Linked DNA regions of Oreochromis niloticus. The protein of the gene in region 2 interacts with the protein of the main gene of each other region in a pairwise test. Links are inferred from orthologs where the notes say so. Each region holds a gene or a part of one and is shown on either strand. Other genes may lie near its edges.

Region 1 (7,405 bases), on a different chromosome or scaffold from region 2:
AAAAAAAAAATAGCTGGAGAAAACAACCTATACTCAGTTCTGGTGTGAGAACACTGAATAAGATTAAAATATTATAATAGCTGGACATATTTTTAAAAAATAATTAGCAAAGTCAGTGCCCCAAACATGTTTTGACCAGCATCCAGTAACATGGGTCGGAAAAATAAGCTTCTGTTGAAGTAGAAGGAACACTGAGAGAAGGAGATGAAAATAACTACAAGTGATGAGGAAGCAACGGGTAGCGAGGGAGCGGCCAAGTGGGGAAGATGAAAACCAAGCACACAAGAGGTTGGACTTTGATCCAGCTGCACAAAACAACGGGGGGTAGCAGCACCTAGGGAGTGAGGGCTGGTGACGGCACTGGGCCTGCAACTGATGCTCCAGCTGAGAAAACATGATAAGCACACAGAAAACTGACGCTGAAGGGCGAGGAATGAGCCTCAAGCGACTCAAGTCCTATGATCAGAGCACGGCAAGTTGTCTGCTACGTTAGCAACTTATGAAAACAACACTCTTAGTTTTCTATCAGGCTTCCTTTTCGCCCCCCTTTTCCAAAAAGGCGGGTGGGTACGGGGTGTGGGAAGTCCTCTGTAAACAGGAGGAGTGGGAGCCCCAACCTTGACGGATCACTGAAGCAGACAAGTGGAAAACTCCCAACCGGGTTTCTGGCTCGGCTGAAGCATTGTTCCAACCCATGCTCTTGTTAGCTAGCCGCCAAAGAGAAGAAAGGAGGACTGTGTGGAGCCTGCGGGGCTACATCCACAATTCAGGAAGAACAATATATTGAGCTGATGCTGAGCTTCGTTTATTACTCTACCTACAAAGTGTAAACAACTACTAAAGACAAAGCCAGAATACTAGTAAGACTAGAATGGCTTGGAAGCCCAAGGTGCACATTTTTTCAGCCATTCTGGGAGGATTCACTGACATCCTTAGATATTTTATATTCTGCAAAACAGGGTATTTGACATTTATGTTTAAGTTGGTAATGACACTGACATTTACAGAGCAATATTGTAGCTAATAGTGCACACTTTATTCCATCATATGAATATTTCTTTGTAGACAAGTCAAAAGTGTTCCTTTCACTACTTTTAGCCTCTGCACTATAGACGTAGTAAGCGCCAGTGCTAAAGGACGCTGAAGAAAAATCCACTATGTCACATGTGAATATCTCCTTAAAATTCTGCTCAGAGCTGCGTTCAAATCACTTTGCACAGGGAGTTGTTCACAAATGAATAGCAGAGGCCTGAAAAAGGGAGATGGCTAAAAAGTGTCCCGGAGCAATCAGGCTTGTTTTTGCTCCCTGACTGAAATCAAGCAACTAAAAACAAATGTCTCCACCACTCCCCATTCCGCATCACCTAGCATTTGATCAAAAGGTGGAAAAAAAAAAAAAATATCCCTCTTGCTTAAGGAAAAAGAAACAGGAAAAACAATGGTGACATAACTCCAAAGCATGAACAAAATGCCCTTTTCTGGTTTATTCAGTGCTTCGCCTACTTTTTATCCATATACTGAATGCTTCACTAAACCGGTTCAAAAAATGCTTATGCCTTTCAAGTGAGTTTTTAAAAATAACTATATACTTATATGGGTTTTCTTGTTAACCGGTTGCCCAATGCCTTCCTCACACAAATCCCACACATCTATGATTATTCACAGAGACATGTTATTTACTTTCTACAGTACTGTAGTGTAAGTCATCATGACACAGTGTGTCTAGTGTGAACATGTCAAAACTTATTCCATTATCCAATACACAACAGAGTACTGATGAAAACAATCGAGCACGTACAGGGATGCATTTGAAAAGGAAACATAGACACAACGGGATTCATGGTCTTGTAAGAATGCACTTTTACTGCCCATCAGCCCCGAATAATGAAAAAGTTGCTCTCTTTTTAAGAGGAAGCCAAAATAAGGTACATCATAAGAAACTTTCAGAGTATGGTGTGATATACAGACTTCAGAATCCAGAAAGGCGATGACATAAGGAAGCGCTTTCTAGACAGTTGTTTACAGGTTCTTTGTTACTCAAACGAGAGCTGCAGCTGAACCCCGCACGGCCTATATCATGGTGGTCTGAAGACAGATGTCGAGCTCTTCTTTTGGCCATGTATATGTGGGCCAGCCGCAAGAATAAACAATTGCATAACAATGGAGGGATATCCAGGGATTAGCTGAAAACTGGTACTAATGCCCGGGTGAGATCAGAAAAATTTGCAGACTGAATGTTGGTTTCGAGCGCAGGATGTCATGTATTAAGTTTGTTTCGGAGAGACGGGGTCCAACCGAAATACACAACGGTACTGCACGCTTCTGAAGTAGTTTGATTAAAGTTGATTTTGTGCCCACTGGAAGAATCGCGTATTAAAGGTATGCAGGGCACAAAAATTCAGTTTGTTTGTTTAAATGCTGCAGATTTTGTGCAAATGCAACAATAAAACAGAATGTCTAAAAACAAAAGCTATTGCAATTCTTTACATCTACATGCACTGTTGTGAATCATTCATGGAGGCAAAGCATGTGCAGACAAATCGCCCAGTAGCTCGGCCACCCAGTGAATGAAGAGGCGCTGTAGGTTATCTCATATATCCGTACTGGATTACCAAAGCTGATTCGTAAAGCGAAGCGACATGACCATCTGGCCCGATCAATGAATCTCCTTACCGTGTCCTGTTCCGGAGAAATATCAGCTTTATCAGTGGGTGCGTGAAATTCACCAGGCCATTCTTGGATATACTGGTGACCCTCAGCCTGTGGTCCAATATGTGCAAGTCCATATTCCTGGTTGCGAACAGTTCCTCTCCACTGCTCTGTTCCTGCATGCGGCGGAGAAAACGCCTTCCTAGCTGGATGATATCATTCAAATGTTAAAGAGACATAAGTCATGAGTATTTCCGCCGACTAAAAACCCCACGTCACGCTGGTGCTTCTCTCAGAATAGAGAAAAACATGCGACGCAACCAGACGCCAGCCCCGCTTAACTACTGTATATTCAAATAAAGGGACAGCCCTAGAAAAGACACGCCCCCTCCTCTTAAAGCTACAGGTTTATGCCGCTGTTTGGCACATGCACGCAGGGGGGGTGTGAAACGAGCTGTGACAACTTCCGGTTTTGTTTAAAAAAATTAAAAGCCATCAAATATCCTCATAACAGTTTCTGTTCATTTAGCGGATTTGACTGCACAACTAAAACAAAAGATTACAATAATTATAACTATTACTATTATTACAATTATTTACATTTTTTTTCATAAGAGAGTGTAAACAAAACAATATCAGTATCATTTTAAATATGATTACTTGCTGCTTTCCCCCTCCATCAACTACCCATGCTGAAATCTACCAAAGTTGTCTAATGACTCTGCCATAGCAGGCCTCATCAAAGTTGAGGATGACCCAGAGTACAGATAGTGGCCTGGTGCCAGCAGAATCATCTCCTGATCAATGCAGGGAAAACCAAGGAGCTGGTGATGGATTTCAGATCCACCACACCAACACTAGTGAACATCCAGGGAACTAGCATTGAGATAATGGACTCTTATAAGTACCTGGGTGTACCCCTACCTGAACAATAATCTGGACTGGCGTCACAACGCTGATACTCTTTACTAGAAAAATCAGAGCAGACTACTTGCTGAGAAAACAGATCTTTTGGAGTGCAGGGTGTGCTCCTGAAGAGCTTTTTCGACTCTATGGTGGCGTCAGCCATCTTCTGTGGTGTTGTCTGCTGGAACAGCAGCTTATCTACAGCTGAGAGGAAGTGGTTGGATAAGCTCATCAGGAAGGCCAGCTCTGTTCTAGGATGCCCCCTCGACCCACTGCAGGTGGTAGGAGGCAGAAGAACTCTGGCCAAAATAAATCAATCTTGGACAACGTCTCCCACCCCATGTATGAATCTGTTGCAGACCTGGAGAGCTCCTTCAGTGACAGACTGCTGCATCCTAGCTGCACAAAGGAGCGCTATCACAGATCCTTCCTCCCAGCAGCTGTTAGACTTTGTATCTATCACTGATCCCAATGAACACAATAAGTTGTTTGCGTCACTGCTGTTATTTGTACAGTTTTTCAGTGTTCTGTAAATACTTTCTCGTTGTTGTTTTTAAGCACTTTTCACAGCACTATCACTGATTCTGTAAAAAAAAACAACCAAAACCCCAAAAACATCCTACTCAGCTGCACATTTCTTTGAGTCTGAGTATATTTTTAATAACTATACAGTATTGTTTTTGTTACGTTGTAAATTTGCCATGTGCTGTCCATTTGTTTTATTTTATATTCTTTACTTTTGTGAGAATCTGTATCTGCCTGTCACTTTGGTGCTGGAACATGTGAATTCCCCAATTAGGGACAATAAAGGATATTTCTATTTCAGTAACGTTGCCCAAAGGTCAATAAAGAAATGCTTGTTGAACTTGACCTCTGAGTAAAATTCTTGCGACCTTAATGGCCATAGACTACAGGTGAACTCACTGACTAGTTGCTTGATAGTTACTTCATATTTTATTGATCTGATCTTATATGATAATGTTTTCATTTATCAGATGATCGCAGGTGTTACTTTCATAAACAGAAAAGTGTCAGTCATAAACTCGCATTTCAGGATTAATCCAGTAGAGAAGAATTACTCAAGATAAAGAGATGCAACTCTAATGATGTTGCTCAGGGTGACATGGTTTTTATGACACTTACATAGCTAGTCTATGAAAAAAAGACTACAGTATGGTTTTCCATACTTTTGTTTTCCATCAGTCTAATGTTGATTCTAAATATTACAATAATCATATTTTGTGTAGGTCACCTATTATTTCCCAAAAAAATATCCCAGATTAATGTATTAATTTATGTAACATCTTTACACATTGACTTTAAATTATAATTGAATCTGCAAAATTGAAATGTACTTAATTTTTTTAAGTACAATCAGTGAGGTGGGCTTTTGTTTTTATTTTTTTTTAATCAAACAGTTGTTTTACATTCACCGTTGCAAAATTCAGCATGATCTCATTCATTAAGTCATCCATGTACATTTAATAGTACTATCATAAAAATCTTTATTGTGGAAAAGAAAACAAACAAACAAAAACCCCAATATGTGTTCCGTTACATCAATTAATGATCAAAATAGAGCAAACACACCTCACTTCACTCCACTAAATCAGAACGTAAAAATTCCTCAATAACACCGTAACGCACAAACTCTTTTTCTCTTGTGTTTTCCCCCCCTTCACGTGTTTTATCTAAACCCTTGTAAATCTTGGTTTTTCAGGTTCTTTATACTGAATGTGCTTGGAAATTGTACAACTACTTTTGACTTTGGCAATATCACAAACATGGAATCAGAAGTTTTACTTCAATGCTTTTAGTAACAACACAGGTCATACAGAAGAAATGGAAACTACAATTCGTAAGACCAAAAAGTTAAGTAAAATTTGGTCATTGAATTATTTGCAGTCTCAGTCGCTTTCTCATTGTAAAGGTGAACTCTTAGTTGGAATCATTATTCTTGACTCCATACTTCGCAACAAAGGCACTGAGGACAGACAGAAAGACAGTTAGAAAATGATGTACTGAAAATTACAATTGTAATAATAAACAAACAGGAAAGCAAACAACAAACATACAGCTCTTAAAATTCTTCAAGCTGGGCAGTATCATTTTATAATTTGATGCTCACACTGCTTAAGTCTCATATTACCATGGATGGCCAATAAATTAAGATTTTTTTTAAATTATTATTATTACCGCAACCCTTTCATCTCCATCACTAACAACAATGGGGGAGGGGAGGCAGCATTATATAATTTTCTGATTTTGTGGCAAACATTTAAAGAAAACACTGAAGGTTTACTTTAGCCCTACTTCAAAGAAATACAGATTTCAGATCCAGTACACCGACCACATTAAACGTTTCAGCAGAAAATTGTTGGTAGGCAACTATGATTAAAAGAGTTTTGTGATCTACGAGTCTCAACTTTGCTCAATATAATTGCAGGTAAAAATAATCAATGAGGTATAAAGTAGCCCTGACAAAATCATTTTTCTTTTTTAAGGCATCTGGGCGAAGCATTTCTTTCTTACCTGTATAATACACGTTTACGTCCCATCCTTCTTTCCGCCAGGCAGAGTTTCTTGTCTCCTCTCGGGACTGGAGGCTCTCATAAGCTATGAAAAGACGGCAAAGAAAAAAGAAATTCCAATGAAAAAAGCAAAGCCAAAAAACTCCACCACACATATTATATTGCATTATGTGTGGATAAAATTTACAGTCACTGGCACCTTCGTTAGTTAAACCTTGCTAACATCAGGCCAAATCTCTTTTGCCATCAGAACTCAATTCTTAACCACACAGATTCAACCAGGTGCTGGAAACATTCCTTCGAGATTTTGATCCATTTTCACATAATAGGATCGCACTGTTACTGCAAATTCATTGGCTGCACATGCGGTACATGATGTGAATCTCCTGTTCTACCACATTTCAGGTAAGAACATGTAGTTCGTGGGTCACATATGGGTCAATTTGATCATAAATGTCAGACCACAATTAAATAATAACGTAAAAAAGCCACCCAAACATTTCTTCCCGTATGTTTTGAGTTTCAAGTATTAGTACATTCTGTCTATCAGTGAATAAAACAGCCCAACATGTCTTATGGAAAATATTTGCAATTACAACAATATGTCTCAGTATTTCCTCATGCTCTTGTCATTTCAAAGAAACACACTGACATAGCTCTTTGGCTGAATGCCCTTACTTCATTGAGATAATACAGGCTTCAAAAATGTGTGAAATTTATGATTCAAGCCCAGAGGCTTGATATTTTTAATATCATCTGAACCAGAGTTCAGATGATATCAAAAATATGGACAACCACTCATAAAACACCTTTAATACTTTGATTGACTCGCAATATAATGCTTCCTGTTCCAAGATGCAATCAAAAGTCCAAATGTTATGTCGAGTGTAAAATCATCCTTTGTTGATGTTTGACACACCTGGCTTATGTTGGAACCGTAACACTGAGCTTTAGTAATTCATTAGAATACAGAATGTATACAGGAGCATTCAGCTATCTGAAATTCAGCCAGACCAAACTTGTCAGACATTTTAACATACAGCAGTCAATCACCTCATCTTACAGGCATGTTTTAAGTGTAGAGTGCTTAATTACTCACCCCACAAGTGATGAACAACATAGAGTTGGCCAATCTGTGTGAAGAAACCGCCTACTGCCTCATTGTTTTCTTGTCTATGTTTGATTGCCCTCGCCCTGTTACAAAACATTATCTTATTTAGTATAAAGATCACTGAAACACTTCTGATATTTTCACTTCCACTGGAAGAGATTCAGACAAATGACATATGTTTAAATAAATTCAACGTGTCTCACCAGCG
Region 2 (7,452 bases):
AGGCTGATTCTTTTCTGGGTCCTCCCTGGAAAGCCTTCATGTGATCCGGATTATACAAGGTTTATCTGGACAACTTGTTTGCAGTGTAATATGAAGTTTTCGCATAATTAAGGAATATGGACAGCATTGTTTCCTTTAGGTGTTGTATTATTGGATACAAGACTGAATAAATAACCTCAGATTAAAACCAGGTCATTTTTTAATAATAAAAGCTGGGCGTATTTATGAATGAATAGATTACCTAAAAAAATGAACAACAGTGTTTTAACAGTGTGAAATCCAGCTAGTTTTCTGACTTTAGGCAATTTTTTTTTCAATCACTGCTGACAATTTATGTGGATTTCCATCGCTCTGCTGAAGGCTTACCTTTGGTTTGATGGGTTTCAGTACGGGGATGTCTGTTCCCTCAGCTCTTTGTCTGCTGGAGTCAAAAACCTTCCTCTTTTTAGTTGCTGATTTTTGGCAGATTTTTGCGTGCTTCTCCTGTTGGAGGAGGACAATGTGCACAAAACATGACAAAACATTTTTATTTGTTTTTAACACCACTGGCATCACTTAAGATCTGTCTTTTACTATAATTTAAGTTTTCAACGACATTTTCCTAAATGAATTTCTTGAAAGAGGAGGAAACCTTCTTTCAAGCATTTCAAGCTCAAATTTATATGAGTAAGATCAACAACACCAGTAACCTCCTCAAAGCTGTAGCCAACTCTCTAGCACACTAATGTCTTCCTGATGGAGAACCAAGCATATATTGCTATACATACCTAGAATAATACACCATTCTTTAATGCAGCCATTATCTACTAATGAGGCTGAGTGCTTGCATGGGAGCACATATTTGGTTGTTTACCTGAAAATACTCTTCAAATTAAACACCAAAATCTTTATAGCTTCAATGTATTAACTCTGTATTAAGTTTTAGTCATTTCAACATAATAAACAAAGGAATAGAGGATTTTTGGGGAGTAAAATATATAAACTCATTAGCGACTCTGTTAGGTACACATTAGTACCAGGATGAACCCCCTCTTTCCTTCTTAGCTGCCTTAATTCTTGTTGCATGAGATTTGGGTGCACACTGACATGATAGCGTAACACAGATGCTGCAGATTTGTCAGTCATTGTCATATCCACAATGTAAATCTCCTATTCTAAAACATCCCAAAGATGTTGAGATCTGGTGGCTGTGGAGGTCATCTGAGTACACCGAACTCACTGTGACTTATAAGAAGCCAGTTTTGAGATAATCTCAGCTTCATGCCATGTTATAATCAGAACATCAGAACATGTCATGTTATCAGTAGATGGGTACACTGTGTTAATAAAGGTCAGGAACAACACTCAGGTAGACGGCTGTATCAAAACTATGCTATCCTCCACACCATTACCAGCAACCTGAACTGCTGATACAATGCAGGACTGAGCCATGCTTTCATGCTGTTTACATCAAATTATGAGCCTCCCATCCAAATGGTGCATCAAAAACTCGTAAAACCAGACAACACTTTTTTACAAATTGTAGTCTTAGTTCCCTGTTCTCAGCTGATAAGTGTGGCACCTGGTGTGGTCTTCTGCTGCCGCAGCCCACATCTGAATGTGCTTGTGTTCTGAACACAGAAGAGCATTCAGAGATGCTCTTCTGTGTGCCTTTGTTGTAACAAGCAGCTATTTTAGTTACTGATGCCTTCCTATCTGCTTGAAGCAGCTGGGCCTTTCCCCTTTGATATCTGACATCAACAAGGCATTTTGACCCAGATAACTGCCGCTCCATGAATATATTCTTTTTTTTCCTGTCGATTCTCTGTAAGCCCAAGAGATGGTTATATGAGAAAATCCCAGTAGATCAGCAGTTTCCGAAATACAGATGAGTCTATCTGTCATCCATAACCATGACTCAACACCACAGTCTTTTCGCCTATATTAATAATAATAATGATAATAATAATAATGGATTGCATTTATATAGCGCTATGACACCACCCCTACCTGCATGTGCTGCAGACAGTGCTGAGAGTACTGTATTGCTGAACATGCTGTGAAGCCATCCTTTCTAAACAATCTCCATTCACTGATTTAGATGATGAAGTGAAAGAAAATGCTTCACATGATACAGTCCAGTTGACACCTGTGCTACAATTCATCTATATACAAAAAATGGCCCACTATGAAATTAATTAAATAATTAATTAATGACCAATATTTCCAACTCCATTTTATGGGAAAACAGTACTGCTAGAGAAGTTTCTTAGTGAAATTTTTAAATCAGAGTCTTGAATATCACAAATTTGTTCAAACAAAAAGCATTTCTGCTTTGATAAAACCTTCTACTCCCCTACAGAGCTCTTCACACGACCCTGCTAGCTATCTGGATCATAGCCAGGGACACATTATTATTGAACAAACAGCTGATACCCTGTCAGCTGAGAATTAATGTGGTAAATACTGTCAGCCAGGCGGGTTAATCACAGTGCGTGATCAACACACACACACACACACACACACACACACACACACACACACTTAAAGTGTCTGCGATTAAAATATTGTACTCTTAGAACAGTGTTACACATTGTTTTGTTTTTTTGTATTAAGAAATGTCAGAAATGTGCAAGAGGTGGTTTGGGGTTTTTTTTACCAGGACTTTGGGGAAGAAACATCTTTTACAGGTATTACACTGAACCCGATCGTCAACCAGAGAAGCTTCGCCATCTGCAAGAATAACAGAATAAATTCTGATTGTGGTGAAGGTTTAAGGAGCAAACATGGACCACAACGGGACTAAACAAACATAGGAAGAAAAATAATGACCTAGTTAACATTTGATACAAGGTAAACACTTCGCTGTCATAAATTGTGTTCCTCTGCCACAGTAAAGGCAACAATGTTTTGTTGTTCGTTTAGATGGTGTTATTTGTTAGGAGTTTGCTGGTTAGCTGGATAGCTCCTCTAGCTAGGAATCACACCCATTCAGAGAGGAGGAGCAGCTAGCTTCTTCTTTGGCCCTGACGTTACCTAGCATTACTTGGGCTAAAACCCAAACAAAAAGGAGGTCGCTATGCAAAACTGTTCATCTAAAGCAGCCGCGAACCCCAACGCGTCCACTTGGCAGATAAAACCGAAATGCTAAAATCCCAAATTTGCCACAAAAGGCTGAAGTAAACACACGAACAGCAATATCGCATACCTTCAAATTCTTCCATCCTTAGGTTATCCCTTGTCTGGTCCTGCTGCTGTTGTTAGAAAACGGCCAGACGTAGACGGAAAATACAAGATGAAAACCCCTCTTCATTTCCGGCTTTGCTAAAACGGGAGAAAGGTTTTAGTTTTACCCTTTTATCCTGTAAGGAAAATTACTTTAATTTCCATATAAATTGATTCTGCAGTGTATTGTGAATTACTGATGTCCTGTGCAGATCTACATTTTTGGTTTGTCATTTTTTATGTTTTGTTTGTTTCTCTGTGACTTATGTCGACACTAGTTAGTCTTTTCTGGGACGTTATTATCCTGTTCCAATTCCCAATGGCAGGTAATTATCTTGACACTACTGATCTTTGGCTACCGATAGCAACTGGGTTGTCCGATGCCGCTCGGTGAGCTAACATGCGAGTATTTCATTGGTTGTTACTGCACTGTTTCTGATGGAGTGTTAAGTATGCACTGTTTATTTTGGACAGCAGGTGGAGCGTGGGAGGGAACCTCTGTCATGTTTCCCAGTACTACTCCTAACCATAAAATTTTTTTTGGAGTTTGCGTAGCTCAGTTTTCGCTGGAAACTCGCAAATGTTGCTGTTACTGGGACGAAGTCTTTTTTTTTTTTTCAATTATTTTAGCTATAGAAATAAATAAAAAACGAAATGCTATTAGTTATTAGTGTTGTTGTTGATTCAAAGTTATGTAAATGAGTAAACAAGCTGGTAGCTTTACCTTGCATCTCAGCTTTGTTTGGAGATGGTCATTTACAGATAACTCGTTATATCAACCAGACACCCAAACTAGTGTGCTCATTTGCTGCTTTTGTTAGCTCAAACACTTGCGCAGACCAAACACTAGGAAGTTCCTCATTTGCCATACTGACAACATGTGTCATCTGAATGGAATGATTCATGGACAGATGCTAAGAGGGCACAGCAAACATGTGCCTTTATCACAAGAGGGGCGTTGTTTCAACACTGACTCCCTTTTGTGTGATCTCTCACACCACACACACGCCCAAGCGCGATGCCTTTTCACCATTTCAAATTATAGCAATGGAATAATAACCATTCGCCAAGCCCTAACGTATCCTAACCTTTAAACAAGTCTCTGTCCTAAAATTTAATGATTTTACACACACATTCACGGTTAAAAGATGCACTTGGCATTAAAGTGTATGGCTCTCACTTTGTCAGATATTAATTAAGGAATGTGGTGCAAGTATTCCTATTACTAATCCTATATGTGTATTTATTTATTTATATGTATATTTATCTATTTAATCAAATAAAGGAGTAGGTAAAGTAGCTGGTAATGAAAAACTTTTCTGTTAAGCGTCCCTTCAAAGTAATGCGGTTTTATTTTGAAAGTGATACTCGGAAGTAGCTTCGGTGTGCTTGATTTGCTTGACATTAGTAATTCTCTTTCATGAGCGCATTGGGGAATACCGAAATGGCAAGATCCGAGCCGATGTGATTGACCCCTGCGAATATTCGGAAGCCATTTATCCCAAACAGGTAGCATACCTTGCTGATCATATTAAGAATAATAACTGCAGGTGCAAAGTGCGCAAAGCTCGTAAATGCATGTGTAATGTTAATATCATGCAGGCTACGTTTACTGGCACTGACCTGACTCTGTGGGGGTCTTTGTCATCAAAGACAGACGAATGGCTCTTGGTTTTAATAATGAATTTAAACATTCAGATTCTCCTGCAATCTTAAGCTCGTCTGTATTTAAAGGTTATATGTATTTAACAAAAAAAAGAAAAAAAAACTAGCGCTTTATTATTTAGGACGCCAATGCGCGTGACTGCAGCGCTTCCACTTAGCCTTTAGTAGGTGATAAATTGTCATTTTGGACATAGAGGTCTTTGTGGAGTGACGTCGCACTCACGCAGACTCGCGACGAACTTTTAAATAAATCACTTAGCTAAGCCTGCCTTAAATATGTACGAGCTGTAGAAATAACAGTAAAACATCTGTGCGCTCTTACATGGAGGATGTTGACAGCTGCGCGTGAATCCGTGGTTAAGGAGAAATTGTTTACTTTTGCGCTTGGCACGGTGATGTTGGAGTATAGCATGTCTGTTTGTGTATGCGAGCATGAGAGAAAAAGTGAGACCACTGGCATCAGTCCCAGGTATGCCCAGGCCACCTAGAATAACTCTGGCATAAGTTTCTGGGACTCGTTCATGTACTGCCTTTATCACTGCTAATTTTCTGTTTGGCAGCATAACAAATCAAACAGCTGCAAAGCAGGAGTAGACTTTTTCTCTCCCCCCCCAACTTCATAGTGAAAGACAGAGAGGGCTGGCCTGTTGTATTATTCAGCGATTTGATCATTTGTTTGGAGTCTGTGCTATATATATTGGTGTCCAGGCCAGCTGAGCTCTACTTCCCACATGGGAGTAAAACCATGAGGACAGCAGGAGTATTCTACTGCAAGAGCGCGCGCACACATCCACACACACACACACACACACACAGCTGAGTAGCCGATGTTCTAATTCATGGGTACAACAGTCTGACTGAATTATGTAAACTGGCAATTAATATTTCATAGAATATGAGCATAGGAGAAAACATCGCAAAATGTCCTGTCACTTCTAACTTCAACTTCTAACTTCAAATATAAACACAGCTTCAGTGGAAAAAATGTCTGCACTTACAGATCTGGCAATGATAATGAATCCCAATTAGATTCACTTATGTTCTATCATAAGACAGGTTCTTTATTGAAAGGTGTGGGCAAGAATTTTATATCTCATTTGGTTCTACCAGTAAAGCCTGGGACATTTACTCATGCAAGCTAAATGAACCAGCTGTTTACATGATGTAATGTTTCAAATGATATTTCTTCTTTATTGCTAATAAACCAGTCATACCTATGAGCACAATCCAGTGCCCCGATTCTCATATTAAGTTAGAGAACAGCCGTCTTATCTCTCTTGCTTCCTCACACGTTTGGTCTGTCAGTCGTACACGGACAGCATCTGCTGGGTCTTGCCCATCTTGACACCATTTTGAGAATGACAGCTGAGTGGGAGGGTGCTCAGATGATGACAGAGGAGGCTTCCAAAAATAGCCACGGTCTACCACAACTTTCTCTGGAAATAGCCACAAATGGATGTGAAAGTGAGGCATTTTTAATATATACTTATACATAATTTAAAAATCCTGCATTTGACTTGGGGAAAATCAAACCAACCTTTTTTTGTGACTGAGTGTTGTGATGTCTTCTGAGGTTTTTTATTTTCCTTGAAAATTTTAAAGTAGTGGCAGCAAATAAATGCAGATATCCAGACTGATACAGCCAAAGAAATCTCATAATAGCAGATTTTAATTGAAAGAAATGTGACAACAAAGCCTGAATCTGCTCAGTGCTGAAGGACAGCCTCAGCCAGACAGATTGCTACAAAGGGCTTGAATATAAGCAGAAGGATTTAACCTAAATCTCCGGGGCAGCACAGTTCCCATCATGCTCCATGCTTACTCCAAGTGATATGACAGTACTTTCCTCATTCTGCTTTAATGACCTCTTTAAGTGTGCTCTTTGGTTAATGTAATGCATCAGATTGCCTGTTTATATTTCCCATCGCTCTCCTCGGCATTCCTTCTACTGAATTTGCCTCCTCTGTATCCATGGTGTCGCCCGTACCCTAGACTGAGATTAAAATAGATTAAGCAGGGATTAGGTCATAAGATAAGCGGAGGGAGGGATGTATTCAATGAGTGCCTGCATAGCCTGCCGCGTTACATTCTTCTTGTCAACAAAAACTGGTGTTGCCATTGTGTAAAGTTATTTAGGAGAAGCTGCACAAATTCTGTCCATTTCAGCGATCTTTCCATAAAAGTGGTGCAGATTCCACTGTCTGTGGGTCACTGTGCACCTGTGCAACTTGAAAAGGTGTGTCAGTGTGTGCTGCTGTGTGCGCCAGGCCCTGCTATGGTGAGGTGTGTCAGCGATGACGGATGTGGAGGCGACCTATGAGGACTTCATCGCCTCTCGACGATCTGGCCGCAGGAATGCCATCCATGATATTCCAGACGCCCCTGGAGAACCGGGCACCACTGATCTGTCAGAGAGTCTGGCACAGCTCAACATCAACAAGTCAGGTGAGCAACACGATGAAGAATGAGAACATATTTTGATGGTGACATTAATAATTCATCAGGGTGGTAACACATCGTCTCTTTTCTACTTGTGTTCAGTTGAATTCTATGGATTTTCCAACAGTGGATGATTGTTGTTCT

Evidence for each region. The genes of interacting proteins can lie anywhere in the genome.
Region 1: the proteins of zc2hc1a (region 2) and castor1 interact in binary tests that used the Homo sapiens proteins (3 or more experiments, as listed by UniProt). The two-hybrid records come from large-scale screens. The link is inferred for Oreochromis niloticus from reciprocal best matches to the Homo sapiens genes ZC2HC1A and CASTOR1.

What each region holds. Positions count from the first base shown.
Region 1 is NC_031977.2:29,895,372-29,902,776, forward strand, and holds the start of castor1 (cytosolic arginine sensor for mTORC1 subunit 1), read right to left. Parts: upstream 3,032-7,405; 5' UTR 2,832-3,031; coding exon 2,674-2,831; intron 1-2,673. Other genes in the region: nipsnap1 (protein NipSnap homolog 1), read right to left, coding at 5,475-5,539, 6,088-6,171, 7,186-7,280, 7,401-7,405. UniProt on the Homo sapiens protein: Functions as an intracellular arginine sensor within the amino acid-sensing branch of the TORC1 signaling pathway. As a homodimer or a heterodimer with CASTOR2, binds and inhibits the GATOR subcomplex GATOR2 and thereby mTORC1.
Region 2 is NC_031974.2:23,287,005-23,294,456, forward strand, and holds the start of zc2hc1a (zinc finger C2HC domain-containing protein 1A), read right to left. Parts: upstream 3,304-7,452; 5' UTR 3,204-3,303; coding exon 3,188-3,203; intron 2,713-3,187; coding exon 2,639-2,712; intron 484-2,638; coding exon 367-483; intron 1-366.